Linked DNA regions of Caenorhabditis elegans. The protein of the gene in region 1 interacts with the protein of each later gene in a pairwise test. Each region holds a gene or a part of one and is shown on either strand. Other genes may lie near its edges.

What was found. The genes of interacting proteins can lie anywhere in the genome.
Region 2: the proteins of unc-40 (region 1) and madd-2 interact in a two-hybrid assay, tested with the Caenorhabditis elegans proteins (2 studies listed by BioGRID).
Region 3: the proteins of unc-40 (region 1) and unc-73 interact in a two-hybrid assay, tested with the Caenorhabditis elegans proteins (2 studies listed by BioGRID).

The regions. Positions count from the first base shown.
Region 1 is NC_003279.8:5,687,872-5,693,673, forward strand, and holds the start of unc-40 (Netrin receptor unc-40), read right to left. Parts: upstream 3,633-5,802; 5' UTR 3,570-3,632; coding exon 3,551-3,569; intron 3,351-3,550; coding exon 3,267-3,350; intron 1,730-3,266; coding exon 1,549-1,729; intron 1-1,548. Other genes in the region: npp-7 (RanBP2-type domain-containing protein), read left to right, coding at 4,395-4,590, 4,665-4,825, 4,919-5,524, 5,733-5,802.
Region 2 is NC_003283.11:1,232,049-1,237,929, reverse strand, and holds the start of madd-2 (E3 ubiquitin-protein ligase TRIM9), read left to right. Parts: upstream 1-2,484; 5' UTR 2,485-2,495; coding exon 2,496-2,727; intron 2,728-2,912; coding exon 2,913-3,020; intron 3,021-3,732; coding exon 3,733-4,168; intron 4,169-4,483; coding exon 4,484-4,610; intron 4,611-4,658; coding exon 4,659-4,718; intron 4,719-5,881.
Region 3 is NC_003279.8:4,028,343-4,034,600, forward strand, and holds the start of unc-73 (CRAL-TRIO domain-containing protein), read right to left. Parts: upstream 3,398-6,258; 5' UTR 3,286-3,397; coding exon 3,265-3,285; intron 887-3,264; coding exon 717-886; intron 542-716; coding exon 448-541; intron 62-447; coding exon 1-61.

The DNA.
Region 1 (5,802 bases):
AAATCCAACTCGGATAAGCTTATCCCTGACCAGTTTCCATTCATACTTTGATGATTCATTTGTATTGAATGAAATTAAAACTGCAAAAATTGTTCAATGCCATTTGCATAGTCTTCAACAGAACCTTGAGCCTGTCAATCAATCGTCTTGACGACATCCACCCATCGTTTCTCAATTTCGATCGAATCACCCACAGTCGCCTCTGATTAATGACCATGACAACAGAAGAACGACTACAGGCCCGGCAAAGACAGCTTCAGGAAAACAATTGTTGACCTAATATTACCTAGCTCTAATGCCAGAATAATAATGGTGACATGGCATTATAGTAGGAGGAGATACATGACAAATGGCAGGAAATTGTCGCGGATACGTCTTTGGCGGGTGGTCTACTTCTGTTGAATGTTGTGAAGGCGAAAATAGTATCTGGTTACACAATATATAGATACTTTGTAAGCTTAAACCAACAACTTTAATATTAACAGAATCTTAAAGTGGTAATTTCAAAGCAAGGAAATTGAAAAATTGGAACATATAGTTAATTGTGTGAACTTTTTTGATTCCAATGTGTTGATTCTGTTCTGATTGTACTTTCGGTTTTAAGCTTAATAACTTTCGGTCTATTTCCGGCAAATTTCATAACATTTCAGTGGCCATTGGAAACTAAAACAACTACAAGTTATGAAATATGCAGAAAAACAATTTCTTGCACAACAAAAGCTTCTCAACAATAGACTCCAATCCTCTCGGTCAAAAGTGTCCTTCCTATGCACATATGCATGAATAAGCCAGGACGAAATTTTATATGTGCATAGAAAGACACATGTAAAAGTCACTACTTCCACTCGCTTGCATGCTCTTGAAGGGATTAGGAATAGAAGAAGGAGAAGAAACAAGTGTATATACACACATTCCGATAGAACGGAGATACACCATCTAAATGAGTTATATGTCTCAATGTCATTTGCATATTTTCGAAACTTTGACGAGAATCCACAAAGGAGTCCTTGTGAAGAATGTGAGCATCCGATTTTATTGGTGAAATAAGTTAAGAGTGTTCAAACAACCATATACTTGGAAAGAAGGTTAAAGATTACAAGATAGCACAATTGATATCTTTTTTTTAACGAAAAAGTCAGCTTCAACCCAATTTAAAAGTGTGAGCTTTTTCTACCGAGGTTAAAAGTGCAGTAGGGATATTGTTTAAAACTGATTTTATACTCAAAATGTCCAAATATCGTAACAAAAATTTCAAAATATTTTGACATGTTTTTTGAAATCATAATTTTGGAAGTCGATCAAAAAAATGTTTTTTCTCTACTAGTTTCATATTTTAATTATGTTTCAATTTTTCGTATGTAAAAATTCTAGGAGTTCGCCTATAACAATTACCTAAAAGTCCACATTTTTGCAAAATTTGCCAAACGAATGACGGTGAATATTGAAAAATCTAATTTTTTTTAAAAACTATTATAAGTGTATTGACACTGAACATCAATTTAAATCGAAAAAATTTTAAACCGAACAAATAGTTGTAAAAAAACTCACATTCTAGAAGATGTCCGTTCACTGAGCAACACACCATCACGTTTCCATTCAATTCGGACATCGTGTACAAGTCTCTCATGAGCCAGAACATAACTACATTCTAATAAATGAGACGATGATTCCATAACAGTCACATTCCGTCGTGGTTCCATTACGAATTGAAAGCCAAGATTCCGAGCATCTGAAAATAAGGTTTTATAAAGGATTTCCTTCAGAAAGTCATTCGTATTGTTTTTTTTATCGAGAATCTTATGACCATTTATATTCCGAGAAAGGTTTACGAAACGTATACTATTATAATAATAACCATTCATTTTTCTTCCTCAGTCATTATTCCATACGTTCTCACATGCTCGATAAATTCTTTTGTGATACATGCGGCATCGTAGAACCTTTATTTTATGAATTCACGGAAAAAAATGCAGTTAAAAACCGAAAAAGTCCTTATCAATTGGGGAATACTGTAAAATGCCACTTATCGCGTCTAATTTTTTTGTTGATATTTTTCTGTACCTTACTAGTTAAACTAAATTATCCTTATTTTTTTCCAGAATTAAAACATATTTTCACAACTGATTTATTATTTTGTAGCTTTCTCAGTCTTCAACCTTGACCATTCCGAAATAACAATAAACCCAAAGCGTCCTTCTTTCTCTTCCGCCGCTCAAAAATTGGAGCCAATTAGTTCACATTTTCGTAAATGTTTAGAAACAGAACTTTGCTACTCATCAATAAGAAATCATCATCATTTAAATGATGAATGAATGTATTCCCGGAGCATTATGCAATCAAGGGAACACCATCAACTGAAGACCCGTGTCCCTCATATTGCCTCATCCATCAATTGAAATCGAAAGGGGATGGAAGAGAAAGATTTGTGTGGTGGAAGCTAAAGAAGATGATGGCATTTCGTTTTGTGTGTGTGTGTTTGTGTCACAATTCATTCCAAGAGTAAGAAGAAAAGAGAGAGAGAAGACTTCATGTGGAACCATTGGGACCCACACACACAATAATGAAATGAACGAATCTGGTGGATTTTGTGTAGAGATTACAATCTTTCGAACATCAAACGCCTAGAGAATCTGGGGAATTGAGCTATCCACTTTTGGTTTGTAGTGAAAAATGCTACAATTTGGCGTCAAGTTTTCTTTAAAGGTGGTACCCACCGTGGGGTAGTGAAATAAGGCCCCGAGTGACGGAATGAGGCTTCTCAAAAGCGGAGTCAAAATTAACTAAAATTTTAATTTTTCCCTAAACCGCCATAATTTAGAAAACGTTCAAGATGTCTCTCTTCTGGGGACAAAAAAATCGCTGCTCCATCTTTAAGGTGTGAAGGAACTAAAAGATTGCTGAACAACTCTGCTAGATCGGAACTCGAAAATTGAGAATAATTTTGAAAGAAGGTTTTTTCAAAGTAAAACCATTAATTCGACGATAAACTAAGTGTTTTATAGGTAAGAGTATTAAAAAAAACGTAACTTTTCTTGGATTTGTATTATTTTTATGGAGTCAATTTTTTTTAAAAATAGCCACAAGGTAGTTCAGTGCCAAGTATTGACTTTAAGATGATTTTTATTTATATTTTTCTATTTTCAAAATTCCATTCTTGAATCGATAAATTATGTTGCCGGTGACTGACACCTTGACAGAATGCCAGATGGTCATCTTCCTTCCCCCATTTTAATATATTTTTGAATTCAAATGTGAAAAACTCTCACCATTATCAATCGATCGACGATGATGTTTCCGTGTTGTGGCATGAGTAGATGACAGATAAACTGTCAGAATTATAAGAATGAAACCTGAAAATTATAAATAGTAATGAAGTTTTATTTAATTTCCTTTTGTTTTCTTTCAGAGGTTCGGGTTTAGATACTTCGTTTACTACGAAATTATAGGATTTTAATTTTATTTGTATCAACACAAAAGTGATAACAACAATATTTAAAACTTTTCCACGGAGAAATTATTAAAATTGATAAGATAAAAAGATGGAACTCACCGAAATGTCGCAAAATCATTTCTACTGAATGAATTAAATAACTTCTGTCGAATTATCGCATTCTATTGGTGATGCAGAGGGTCTGAAATAAATAATGTTTTTATTTACCTTTGGATTTTTTGAACACATTTTTTGAACACAGAAAAAAAGATGGAAAAGAGGTCGTTAAAAATAATTTTGAATAGAAAATAAATATATTTAACGGAAAAAGAGTCAAAAACAGGGTCGAACGTCGTCAAAAGAGCTCCAGAAGTGTCCAGCTGAAGGGGTGTGGCCTTGTGGAATGGACACTCTCTCGTTTCTCTGCACCCTCTTCATGTTGTTAATGGAAGGATAACTGTCTGCACTCTAACCTCTCAAATGTCGTTGAAAGCGTCGCGTATGCGTCGCGTGTGCGCACTCGAAAATTTCTTTTTAATCGTCTTCGCGCCATTTGCGATTTTAAATTCCTTTATTGATTTTTAATGTAATTTACACTTCTTTCCTTCGAAAATTCAATGTTGGTAAAAGGTTTTTTGCCTTAAAAATATATCAAGTTTAATGCTTAATGCTGCGTTTACTGGCGCGGCCTAAATTTAAACATTTACGATTTTGAATGATTTCTGTAGTTTTGACCTGTGTTATCGATCAATAATTCGGAATTTTTACCAAAACATATTAGGTGCATTTGTCATGTTCTTTTGGTACTTCCAGTAGTTCATTTAGGCGTTTCAAAAGTATTTCGAAAAGTGTCGTTTTTGAAGAATTTTATTTTATCGAGAATTTCTGACACGGCGCAGAAAAATTTCTTCAGTCTCTCTCAGCTTTAGTCTCAATTACGAAACAACTTTTTTCTATTTCAGAAATGTCCGATAAATCCGGAGGGTTTTTCTCATCGGTTGGCCGCTTCTTTTCTGTTGGAGCTAGTGCCACTAAAAGCAAAGACGGCGATAAGTCGAATGATGAAGGTACATCCAATTCGTCTTCAAAATCGTCTCCTTCTGCGTCTCCAGCATTGAAAAATATATTATCCGTAGATAATGAAGCTAAAATAGCTTCAGGTAAGTTTAATCACATTGACTTTCATATCAGTACATGGCACTAGAATTTCAACTCATTATTTTTTAAATTCCAGATGAAACTTCAGTGAATACCTCACAAAACCATCGCATCGGATCACGTCTTCGATACCTCAGTCCGACTGCATTGGATCGGCGTACGAGTGCATCCAATGGCTTAGAGATCGATGTGGACGCTGTTCCAGATATTTTCTTCAGCACTCCTGCGGTTTCCACGGTAAATTTTTAAAGTTGTCTTTTTATTAATGTGTTTTCACAGAAAAATTAGATTAAACCTGTTGATAAATGCTATCGAAATATTTTTTTCCAGAATCGCAAACGTCAACTGACAGAGCTCGACAAGCAGATTCTACCACAATCGTTTCGAAGTGAGAGTGTGAAACGAAGTCGATTCCTGAACAGATCATTACTGGAACCAACTCTTAATAGTTCAATGAATAATGAGAGGAAAATGGATATGACTTGGTGTGGAGAGTTAACTGCTAATCATTCTCCTGCTTCATCTATCACAAATTTCTCACTTTTGAGCCGACGAAGTGGAGCAACTACCAACGGGTCATTAAGTACAAGAACTCAAGAAATTTTCAAAAAGCTTGAAGGTGCAAATACACCCGCGAAAGAAGTTCAGAGAATGTCAATGCTTCGAGCTGGCATTGCTCGACCAGAAAAATGGGGATCGTTTAGCGAGAGCAAGGTTCCAAATGGTTCAGCAACTGGCACACCACCACCTCCATTGAAAAAAGCTGGAGACGCAATTCCATCTCGTATACAGCTCATATCAAAGACTATGGGAATGTCCGCTCGACGTGCTCCTTATTGGACGGATTTAACTAGGAAAAGAACATCGTCGAAAAATGGAGACACTGGATCTTCTGATTCAATGAAATCATTGAACGGAAACTTTGCGACTGCAGAGGTAACCTGGATTTTAAACACTTGAAAAAAAATGATACAAGAATTATGAAAAAGTTTTTCTGGTCAAATTTTCTAAAATTAGACACGAGATTATCACAGTCTAGTATTTATTTTTAAACGTTTCATTGGGAAATTTTCAGAAATTATAACAAACTTAAAATTATGATAATTAAATTATTCGACTTTATCTTAACTTTTTTAAATTTCAGCTGAGCTCCTTGTTTTCACTGGACTTACCAGCTCCAAAGAAGACAGCATCAACTGCATCCACGACCACCA
Region 2 (5,881 bases), on another chromosome or scaffold:
ATAAAACACTCCAAAAAATTTTAGATTTTTCATAATTTTCATGAGCTTTAGAGGAAATCCAAAGCATTGTCGCATGTTTCAACCCCTATAAGGTTTCGATTCAAATAATTAAAACAACATTAAAGTATTAAAAATGTAGGAAAAAATTTTGTTTTTTGGTCGACTTCCAAAATTATGAGTTGCAAATAGTTCTACTGTAAATGTTTGACTGTAAATTAAAAAATTTCAAAAAACATTTTTGAATTTTTATTATGATATTCGATCATTTGGGACCGAAGAAGTGGTTTTTAACAATTTACCCACCGGCGCTACTCCACCTTTAAGCTATAGCTTGAAAAACTATAATAACATATCCTCTAACCTCTATGTTTTTTTCACCAAAAACCTTGAGAATAGTGTCCAAAATGCATATCGAACTTTCACTAATCATACTTCCCGAAGGACTTTCCACCTTTCCCCCTTCCAAGCTTATTCATTGTTTCCGTATAAAGGTTTGTGAATATCTCCTCTCTCTCTACCCAAGACACACCAACTTGATACCTTTCTGTGAATATGTTTATTTATTTATACCCTCCTTCCAACTCTCGGTGCGGGTTAAGCCAGTGACAGGCGCCTTAGACTTTCCCGAGCTACTTTATATAGAGAAGAGAACTCGGATAAAATCCAAAAGTTTTTCTTTGAAATCTTTTCGCAAAAATAATAATGAGCTCGTTGGAGGGCCCCCCGATCATCATCATCATCATTTTGCGACCACGAGAACGAGAAAATTATTAAACAGCAGCAGTGCTCTGAGAGACTTCTACTCTTTTTGTGTTCGGCAGAGATTTTGTGGGAAAAAATTTGGCAGAACTTTTTGAGAAGATAAACTAGCTGCAAGGTCAAAAATTTAAAGTTTTGCAACACTTAGAGGTGGTCTAACTGGGTGCTAAAATTCTATGGGAAAAGTCCTTTCAATATTGTGCTTAGGCTTAGGCTTAGACCTAAGCTTAGGCTTAATCTAAGGCTTAGGCTTAGGCTTAGTTTTAGGCTTAGGCTTAGGCTTAGGCTTAGGTGTAGGCTCAGGCTTAAGCTTGGCGTCAGTGGCGAGCGTGAGCATAGGCTTTGGTGTAGGCTTAATCTAAGGCTTAGGCTTATGCTTAGTTTTAGGCTTAGGCTTTTAGGCTTAGGCTTAGGCTTAGGCTTAGACTTAGGCTTAGGCTTAGACTTAGGCTTAGGTTTAGGCCTAGCCCTAGGCTTGGGCTTAGGCTTAGGCTGGGCCCGGGGATGAAGAGAACGAACAGAAATTATAGAAAATTCAAGAATTCAGAAAAGCCTCTCAATTTGAAATTTCTTGCTCATTTTTCCCTCATTACCATCACCCAATCGATCATTCATTGCACAATCAGTTGAAGCTGTCTCCATCTTGTCTCATCGCATCCCCGTCCATGTCAATCCCGCCTCTCCTTCCCCATCCCTTAGCCCCGCCTACTTTTCTCTCCGCGCGCGTACGTTTCCCTTCCGCCTCTAGCTCTCCGTCTTTTGTGTCCTCTCGTCTTCCGCAAAGTTCCCATGACTGAAAAAAAATTTTGGGTGTTCTTTTCAGGATGTGTATGGGAAGAATTATTTTGATTTGGAATTTTTTGTTTTTATTTTTTTATTTTTGCTCCGTTCTACTCTGTTTCTTCAAAAATTTATGAAATGTAGGTGTTTGTAAACCTTATTTCATTGTTTCGCTCGCTCAAAGTAAATTCTTTACTTTGGCCTATAAAAATTTCGTTTTCAAAATTTAGGCTTATTTCAACATGGTGGTCCAAATTTTTGAATCTAAAATTGATTTAAAAATGTAAAAAAAAATGTTTGTTCTATTTGATATTATCATTTATTTTTTTTGAAAAGCTTGAAAAAGTGCTCAAATAGTACCTAAAAGTTCGTTTTTGTCGGCATTTTTCAGACACTATTTGAGGATTGTTTCAAACTTTTCATCAAAAAAAAAAAATTATTTTCGGAAAGAACAAACCTTTTTCGACATTTCCATATCAATTTTAGATCAAAAAATTTTGGATTATCATGTTGAAATAAGCCAGTTTTGTGAGTTTGCCGAAAAAATGCCGCCCAGCTCTATTCCAGAGTGCAAAAATTAAGGGCTCAAAAATTGCCCTAAACCTAATTTTTGAGGGCTTTTAATTATTGGAGAGTATTTAATCGTAAGCCGTTAAGAAAAAAAAATATGTTTTTTTCTGCTGGAAAATTTGAAATTTTTTTAAGTGAAAATTTTCGAATTTTTCGAATTTTCATCCGGTGAGCTTCTTGAATTTTTTTTCTTGAATATATGTTTTCTCATAACGTTTCATGTCATATGTTTATGCGTTTATGTAGGCGACGGCTCTTTGCACACATTCACACACACATGCACTTCAAAATATAAAACAACTTTCTTTCTTGATCCGAGATTTTTCTTTTTTTTTGTTCAACTTCAACTTCCACCTGACAATACTCAAATTTCAGTCCCTTCAAAAATGGAGGAAGAGCTCAAATGCACAATATGCATTCGATTTTTCGAAGACCCCATCATTCTTACCTGCGGCCACAGTCTCTGCAGAATGTGCGCCCTGAAAGCCCACCAGCCGTCAACCTCGTCGGGAAGCTCGTCCACTTCATCGCCACGTCCCTCGACACCTGGAATTTTGTCACAAATTCTGAGCTCGGCGAGCTCACCGATCTCCCCACAAAGTGCTGGTAGTAGTAGTGGTGAGTATTGGTGGTTTTTTTGTTTTTTGTTGGTTAACTCGTTGACACCATATGTCATTGGGTTAATGGTATTGAGTAATCCAATTTCGGCACCGAGGTGCCGACAAAAGGGAAGAATTGAATGAAGAATGGAAACTAATTGAATACGAATGGAAAAAAAAACTAATAATTATTAATGTTTGCAGGAGCATCTGACACCATGTCACTTTGTGTTTCGGACAATGGGGACCATGAAAGTGATAAGCTATCAGTTGTGTCGGAGACCGATTCTGGAGTCGTCGGATGTGGTAGAAGTGAGTTGATTTTCTTGAGATTGGCTTACAACCTATATAAAAATTGTTGGGTGTAAATCTAACAAGGGAACCATCAGAAGGTGCCCATCGGACTTGCATATGAAACCTATGCCATTCGATAGCCCATGTCTTAAAACGGTTACTCGTGAATTTTGAGCTGCGAATGTCCAGAACCAAGCTCACTGCGAGCTCTCAAAGATTCTAAAATAGCACTATAACGAAGCACTGTAACGATGAAAAGAAGCAATTTTCCAAATTCACTTTGGTAGCCTATATCTCCGTGGATAAATTTTTTTCAGAAAAGTCATCAACTATAAAGTTGTTGATATTGTTGTAAAAAACAAGTTTGTAGTTAAAAGTTTCTACCAAAAAAATTTTTGTTTCAGATAAAAGCATTAAAATAGCAATAACTGCATAAAAATAACAACAACAGTTACCGCACTTCACGCGCTTCTATCTGAAACAACAATTTTTTTTGATAAAAACTTTCAACTACTCGAAAGGAGGAAGACAGTCCTGTCGGTAGGCAGGCACAAGTGGGCCTGTAGGCAGGCAAAACGTGTCTGCCTGATCATCTGGACTATAGTGCAAACTATTCAATTTTCCTATATTTTCTAAAAATCCTGTCAAAATTGAGAAAGATTCTCAAATTTATTCAGGTTCAAAATTCAGAGATCAGAATTTACTTTCTTCAACTTTGATAATTTTCCAGCCAGTCGACCGTCAAGCATCATCGGTCCACCTCTATCCCGCCTACACAACATCCTAACACCATCCACAAGCGGCGTGCAACTTGTCTGTAATTCGTGTCAAAAGCCGAGCTATTTCTGCGATGAGAACTCGATCGTCAGCGCGCCCACGAATCTCGCAATGCAAAACGTGATTCGAAGGTATCTGCTGGCCCATCCGGACAAGGCGTTCTTAACGCCGTCTTGTTCTGGAAGTTCTGGAAGTTCTGGAAGTTCTCAATCGTCCGATGAAGCATCGTCACAGTGTCAGCTATGCGAGGGGAGTGAAAATCGAATGGCAAATGTGTTTTGCGAGCAATGCGACATTTATTACTGCACACCTTGTCAAACTGCGTTGCATCCTGCCAGAGGACCACTTGCAAAACATAACTTATTACAAGCAAATGATGGAGAGAGAAAGTGAGTTGACATGCCTACCTTATCACGTGGCGTCAGGCTGTCCCATCATGGTTTGATCTACAAAAAATGCGGGAATTTTTGTACCCATAAAGATGTGACGTCAGCACGCTCTCAACCATGCAAAATCAGTTGAGAACTCTGCGTCTCTTCTCCCGCATTTTTTGTAGATCTACGGACATTCTGGCACCACGTGCCTTATGCCTGCCTACTCATAAAATATCTCAATTCACAAAATATAAACTGAGGTTCTCGTGGAAGGCAGGCTGGCGGCATACCTCACGCCTGTTAACAGGCACTTTTATGTCAATTTTCCAGGAAATCATCGGCCATCACTACAGCCACCACTGTTCGAGATTTGCTGCGCTGCGCAACACACCCTGGGGAGGGATTAACCATGTATTGTCTGGCATGTAAGGTGCCCGTGTGCTCCAGATGTCTCCAAGTGGGTTGTTGACGCGCAATTCGGGGGTAATAAACTGTGTTTTTTTAGGACCTTCGACACGCCAATCACGATGTGCAGAGTCTTCCGATCGCTTGCAAAGGGCACAAGGTGAGCCTATTTGTCAATCAAATGAGTGAGATGAGAGGGGGGAGGCTAGGTTCAACCGCAAATCTTCAGAAGAAAGTGTCCTTGCATCAAAAATCTGCCTTTTTCATCTAAATAGTTGTTCCTCCATTCCTCCATCCTTGCCTGGTTCTATCTAAATACCGTACATTATTTATAAATGGCCTGACTTGAACTGTGAGAGGAGGAACCACACAACGAACGGCTAATGACCTAGGGCTTTCGAAATCGACAAAGCGAATTAATCGCGAGGGGGGCCCCATGAGGCGTTCAATTGGAAACTTGCCGTCATCATCATCATCATCCATACAAAGTTTTGTAAACTAAACGACATGTTTATTCAGTGTTGTGTCGGAATTCGTGACCTTGGATGTTTCTAACTAACGGGACTGGGGATTGGAAAAGGGAAATATTAGATGAGAAACTCTGCAAAAAAAACCTACATAATCATGAAAATAGCACTGTAACGAAGAATTGATTACTTTGGTAGCTCATATCTCCGCGGAAAAATTTTTTTCAAAACAGTCATCAACTAAAAAGTTGTTGATCTTTTTGTAAAGAACAAGTTTGAAGTTAGAAGTTTTTTACCGAAATTTTTTTTGTTTGAGATAGAAGCGCGGCAACTGTTGTTGTTATTTTTATGATGTTCTTGCTATTCTAATGCTTTTATCTGAAACAAAAATTTTTTGGTTAAAAAAACTTTTGTTTACCAAATTGTTCTTTACATAAATATCAACAACTTTTAAGTTGATGACTTTTATGTGAAAAATGTATCCGTGGAGTTATAAGCTACCAAAGTAAATTTTGGAAATTGACCCTTCAGTGCTTCGTTACAGGCCTTTTTTCAAGGATCTTTGAGAGTTCGCCGTGAGCTTGGTTCTGTGAGTTTTGGCGCTAAAAGTTCACTAGTAACCGTTTTAAGATATGTGCTTTCGGATGGCATAGGTCTCATACGTTAGTCCGATAGGAACATTCTGACGGTTCCCTAGTTAGCCACTTCGCACCCACCAGACTTAAACTAGCTATTGTTAAATCTTTTATACTGGCGGAAAATGTTTGCCTGCCTACAATGCCTCTTTTTGATTTTTCAACAATCTTTTTCAACAAATTTTCGCGGGGTCTCAAAGAACTTCAAAGCCACCGATGTC
Region 3 (6,258 bases), 1.7 Mb from region 1:
TCTCCCAGAATTTTTCGGGCTTGATGATGAACACTTGTACTGTTGATGAGCTTTCAATACTCTGAAAATTAACATTTGATATAGTTGGAAAGTTGTTTTAAAAATTGTGCTCCTAGTGTTAAACTTTCCAAAAATCAGGAAAAATTTTCAAACAAATTTACAGTAAAAAAGCTATGAAAATTCAATTTTCACATACAATATTTTTGGAAGTCGACAGAAAAAAAATTTCTATGGTTGAAAAAAATTATATTTGTGTTCCAAAATATTTTTAAAATTTGGCAACGTACACAAACCGTGACTAAAAATTTTGAAAATTTTGAATAATTTTAGAGGGTTTTAGTCTAAGTTTTTAAAGGATATTCCGCTATTTTTGGCTGTTATAAGTGTATATAGTTTTTTGTTGTTTTTGTAGGAATCCATATTTTTTAAACGAAAAAAAAACCATACACTGAGAGCTTTCAGAATGTGTCGAACATTGGTCCATGTTTGTTTTCCACGCATATCAATTACCACAAGGAATCCCTTTTCGCGTGCCATCTTCCTGCAAATTCAATTTTTTGTTTGGTTTTTTTGAAATTTGTGTTTTGTGGGCTTAGGCTAGGCTTATTGTTAAGTAATTGAATTGAAAAATGGAAATAAATTTTTTGAAATATCTTTTTATAAATTTTGTTTTTTCACAGTGTGGTTGTTCCATTTCAGTCAAATAAAAAACTTACGAAGTAACTTCAAATAAATACAGAAAGACATTGCGTAAATTATCCTGATTGACAGGTTGCTCTCGTGATGGACATACGATAACTGCTTGTCCGGCTCTACATCGTCCTCCAGGAAGTACTGCAATGCCGTCACGAAGAACATGCAGAATGTCTTCTGCTTTCATCGTCATCTGGAATTTTTTCGAATTGTTTAAAATCAAAAGTTTTCATAGAGTTTTTGAGATTATTTTTGAAAGTTCAAAATGTCCGGGAACATGAAACCAAAATCTTAGAAAACCAAAAAAAGCTCGCAGTGGCTCCAAAAAATATCAGTGTTTGTCGTAAAAGAAGGACCATTCGAAATTCAATTCACCACCAGAGGAAACGGGTGAGATAGAGGGAGAGAGCGTTGAGACGCAGGCAACACAACACCGAAGAGTGGAATAGGGGGGGAGTCGAGTGGAACGAAAAGGGGCTGGTCACATTGCACTGCAGTTTATCACCAAGTTCAATCTGCTAATCGACTTTTTCGTGTATTGGGACGGACGGACGGAATGGTTAGTGCGCTGTTCGCGGCCCCCGGCAATGGAAAATGACTGTTGATTTGGAGGAAAAGCAGAGAGTCAGAGATAACAGTTCTGCGATCACTAACTCGATTTTTAGGGCTAGCTTCTTGTCTAATTTTGGACCAAAAATTGGGCAAAACTTATACTTGGTTAGGGTGCGCCCAACTTTTCTTGTGTGGTTTTAAACTTGGGTTAGAGTTTGTCAAAAGTTGGATCAAGTTTGGGCTGGATTTGGGCGCAGTCTAAATCAATCTAAGCTTTGCCAACTTCTGGGCAAGAAGCGGGCACCAAATTTTGAAATTTTCGAATTCTAAATGGTGAAGTCGCAGGGGGCGAATTTTCGCTGAACTTGCACTAAAACTTGGAATAAAAAAGAAAATGTCAAACGGAAATCTAGGTTTTATAAAATTTTTTTATTTTTTGTATTTTTTCATTTTTGTATGGCCAATACTGAAAGAAAAATTTGAAATCATTCACTGTACATTACTTTTTTTAAATTTTATGAAACTGTAAAATAGAGATAACAAACTAGAATCATTGATTTTAAATTAAAATAATCAGTACAATGTACTCAAAAACTACCTATAAAAGTTTGGCTCTTTTTGTTTATTTTGTGAAAAAATTGGGCAGAAAAATTTGTATTTGAAAGAAAAAAGACTGAGAGAACTTTTTGTAAAAGCTCAACCAGAGTATTTTGAAGTTGACTAGTTTACTTGCAAGGCAAACCAACACGAAAAAAAACGAAAAAGGAAGAAAGAAAACCCGGCACACAAGAGATTTTCTTTCATTTTTTCTTTCTTTTTCCTCCAATTTTTTGCACTACAACAATTCTCAATGTCTTCCCCGATTGCCATAAACTGCCGTCATTACACACACACACTATTCGGATTTTTTTGTTGGTATTCGTTCTCTCTCACATTTTCCTCGCTTCTCGAGGTCATAATCCTGTCTCGAACAACAACATACTAGTAGTAAGATTGGTGCTAATCGAGAAGGCACTCTTTGAGAGTACCATCTGTTTCAAGGATTGAGGGAAGAGCTTGATAAGCTCCCACTATTTCGTTTCTTTTCTCACACAACTTTACACAACCGGTCACTATTATCGTGCTATCTGCGTCTCTCCATCTCATGATCTATCCGGAAATAATGGGTGAGAAGAAGCAGGAGCACCGGGAGAGCACCGAATTTCGGAATGAGTGACACAAAACAATTGACTCATAACATATTTCAAAAACGTGATGAACTCATTTTACACTTTTCAACAATTGTCTGGGAAGGTTTGTAATCGTAATACATCAATTATTATGATTTATTTTTCTTTAGTTTGGACCTAATCAAGATTTATAGTCGTGAAAAAGAGTAGAGATCTCGGAAATTTTTTTTTTCAATTTTGGCAAAACTTTAAAGTTATATTAAATTTTTTAGTTGCTGTTTTGGTGTTAATTTTTTCTACTACTCATAGGCGAAATTTAACGATTTTTGTATCAAAATACGGTACCCGGTCTTGACACGATAAAATTTTATTTGAAGAATACTGTAATCTCTAGCATTTGGTTTTTGCGGAATTTTCATCAATTTTCATTGTTATTTATAAAAAAATTTTTCATCGGAACAATTTTACAACAAAAAAACTGTTAAACACATAAATTTAAACAAATATAGAGAAAAAAATCAATAATCAACTAAACTACAGTAATCTTTAAAGGCTCATCAAAAATTTGTAGTATCGAGACCGAATACCGTATTTTTATTGCAAATATCGCAAAACTTTGCGTCTGGGCAATATTAACAAAACAAAATTAAATTATTTGAAATTTAAAAATTTGATGAAAAAGACATTTCTCGGAACATTCGAAAAACAAAAACGTATTCTTTTCTCTATCAAATCGTACAGTTTGCACTCGTTTTCCGCATTAATCGCTTCAATGGATTACGGCGCCGGCATCTCTGCCTCTTTTTTCACAAGTTGCCGCTGCCGCCACCATGAAACTGAAAAAACTCACTTTTCCATCATAATCGCCCATAACTGATGGAGGAATTTTATGCGAATTTGACGACTCTTCTTGAATTCAAAATAATCATGTGCTTCTGAATGTCTGTGTGTGTATTGTGACGATCAGATGAGAACCCGTTTATCTGAAAAAATGACAGTTTTCAAAGAATTTTAAATTTCTTTCAAAAAAAGAGATTTGAGAAAATAAAATAGAGTGCGTATTGAAAAGAGAGAAAAAGTTGATTTTCGATTTAAATTTTCTGATGAAATATTGCTCGAAAATCATGGAAAATCACACTAAATAAGATTTTAAAAATCAAAGAAAAAATCGAGACAAAATTATTAATTATTATGGAAAAAACAAAATTTTCCAGAACATTTAAAAATAAGTGCATTACAATTTTAGAAGCTTTTCATATAGCTTAACATCTTCTTGGAACAAGTTTGGTATACAAAATATTTCAAACAATCCGGAAAAAAATGGCTTAAATCGGAAATTGGCAACATGTGGCTTGAGCTAATTTAATTCTATTTGACCCTAGTCTAAACAATCTCTTGCCAAATTTTGGTCAAAATGGTCTTGCCAATTTTTAAAACTAAATTTTAAAGTTTGTTTTAAAATGACTGACTCATTGATATTTTTGAAGAAATTCTATACTCAAGCAGCTAAAAATAGGATGGAAAAGGTCGAAACATTGCGAAACGTTATTAGATCTTCTCACTAGAATACGTACTTTTTCAGGAAGTATGCATTATTCAAATGTCTTCACTGCATAAAATAAAATAAGCAAATAAAGATGTGATGAATCTAGTCTCAATTATTAGTTGCACAACGCATTACAAATCGTTGGGTGTGAAAATGCGAAAATCGTGGAAAAGGAAGAAGAAAAGGAAGAGCTACCAAAACGAACTATTTCTCTCAAGAGGGCCCAACCATTGGGGTGGGCACCGCTCCGGGAATAGCGTACGAAAGCGGGAGACAAGCGAATTGTTATGGGAGGCTAACGGCCGTTGTAGCAGACCGCTGGTCATATGAGACAGTGCTAGTGTCCTGTAGAGACGCAGACGTAAAAAGAGAACGCAAGGGTCACTGCGCGCGCAGACGGATGTTGATGGACCGGACAGACCGCCGGGGACACAACAGGCAAAATAAGAAAGAAGACATGAAGAAGACGACGACGTGAGATGGCGGTAATGGTGGCAGGTGCAAACGATGCAGGCGACAGATGACAAGAAGTATGTTAGCAACACTTCAAATATAGATAATTCTGTTTAAATCCTTTCTTCTCCAAAATTGAATTTTTCAATTGAACTCAATAGATGCTGTTGTGAGCTCTAGAAGTTGTTGAGATGTCTTTATAATCTAATCTCTCAAATTCTTTGAAACTACTTGTATCTGAACTAGAGCATTTTAGTTCAACAGGCAAAACAGATCAAAATTTAATGCAAAAATATATAACAAATAATTTATTAATCAGAAAATAATTTTCATTTAAGTTTGAAAATGTGAAAATATGATTAAAAATTGCATGAAAGTTGCCAATTGCTGGAAAAAAGTGTCAATAATTTGTCTGATTTATTCCAGCAATTTTCACCTTTCAGACAACTTTTAAGGATTTTTTTTCAACTAAAAAATTATTTTCAGATCAATCAATCCTATATTTTGACACTAAATTTTAATGAAAAATATCAGACCAACATGCCACATCAGGCCATTTTGTAGAATTGTCGAAAAAATTTAACGTACACCTCTGATCTGAACAATCAGTTTTTAGTGTCGGTGGAACACCGTAAAACAAAATCCTAGGAAATTTTAAATGAACTAAATTGAACTAAATGACCAAAAATTGAACTAAATGACCGCTATCGCCCTAATATCAAAAATAATATCAATTCCACTCAATCCTACAGTAACAAGTCAACATCAGAGATATTCTCGAGACACATGGTGAAGATTGGATTTCCCAGAGGATTATACCACCACATGTCTCTTCAGCCAAACAGTATACGATGACCGTTCAAGCGGAAATCATAAAACAAAAGGGATCGACACTTGACAGTTACTATCATTGGAATATTATTACCCCCGTTCAGTGAAGTTGTCACGTGGTGCATTGTGGTACTAATTTTTAAAGGTAGTAACCGACAATTTTTTGATGTTTTTTGATATTAAAAATGACGCAAAGATAACGAGTTTCATAACTACATAGATTTTTCAATAATGCTTACAAATGTTTTATGGCGGCTCAAAGTTAAGGATATTATTAGTGAGAGAAAATTTATGTAGAAACAATGTGCAAAAGGAAAACCAAGAAATCGTGATAATTTAACAAAAAGCTCAAAAATGGTCAGAGTCTATTTTCAGATCATCCTGACTTTCTTATGAAAAAAGGATGCGACAGTAAAAATTTGAATTCAAAACGGCGGCATCAATCGTTGCAACAAGGCAAAAACAGTCAAAATATAAGATTTACATCGATTGGTATTCAGAGCGGTCCCGTGGTCACCTCTTCAATTGTTTTACTGTGACTAGGATTGTATTCGCGCGCTATCGCTAACTTCCCAGAAGGCGTGCCTCCTGGGTAGTTAGCGACCCCATGAGGGTCACATAGTTGCCACTGTTTTTAATTCCAATTTCAGATGTCTAACCGTACCTTAAACATTGTTTTTTAAAAAAACTATTTGAAAACTGCTTTTTTATTCATTCTTTTTTCCTTCACTTCACTGCTTTTTGTAATTGTATCATTATGATTGTTGCTTGATGAATAAATATAAATAAATAAAACTGCTAATCAGAAAAAAAAATCTGAAAATATGGATATCACGACTATTTGAAAATGATAGTCGTTATGGGAAGAACATGTTAATCAAAAAAATGTCAAAAACCATATCGGTGTCTGAAATTTTAACAACAAAAATTTCTGAGCTCCCACAACAATCGACTTTCACGAAAGATAATTTCCATCAGAACTATTTTTACAAATTATCTCATAGCATATACAGG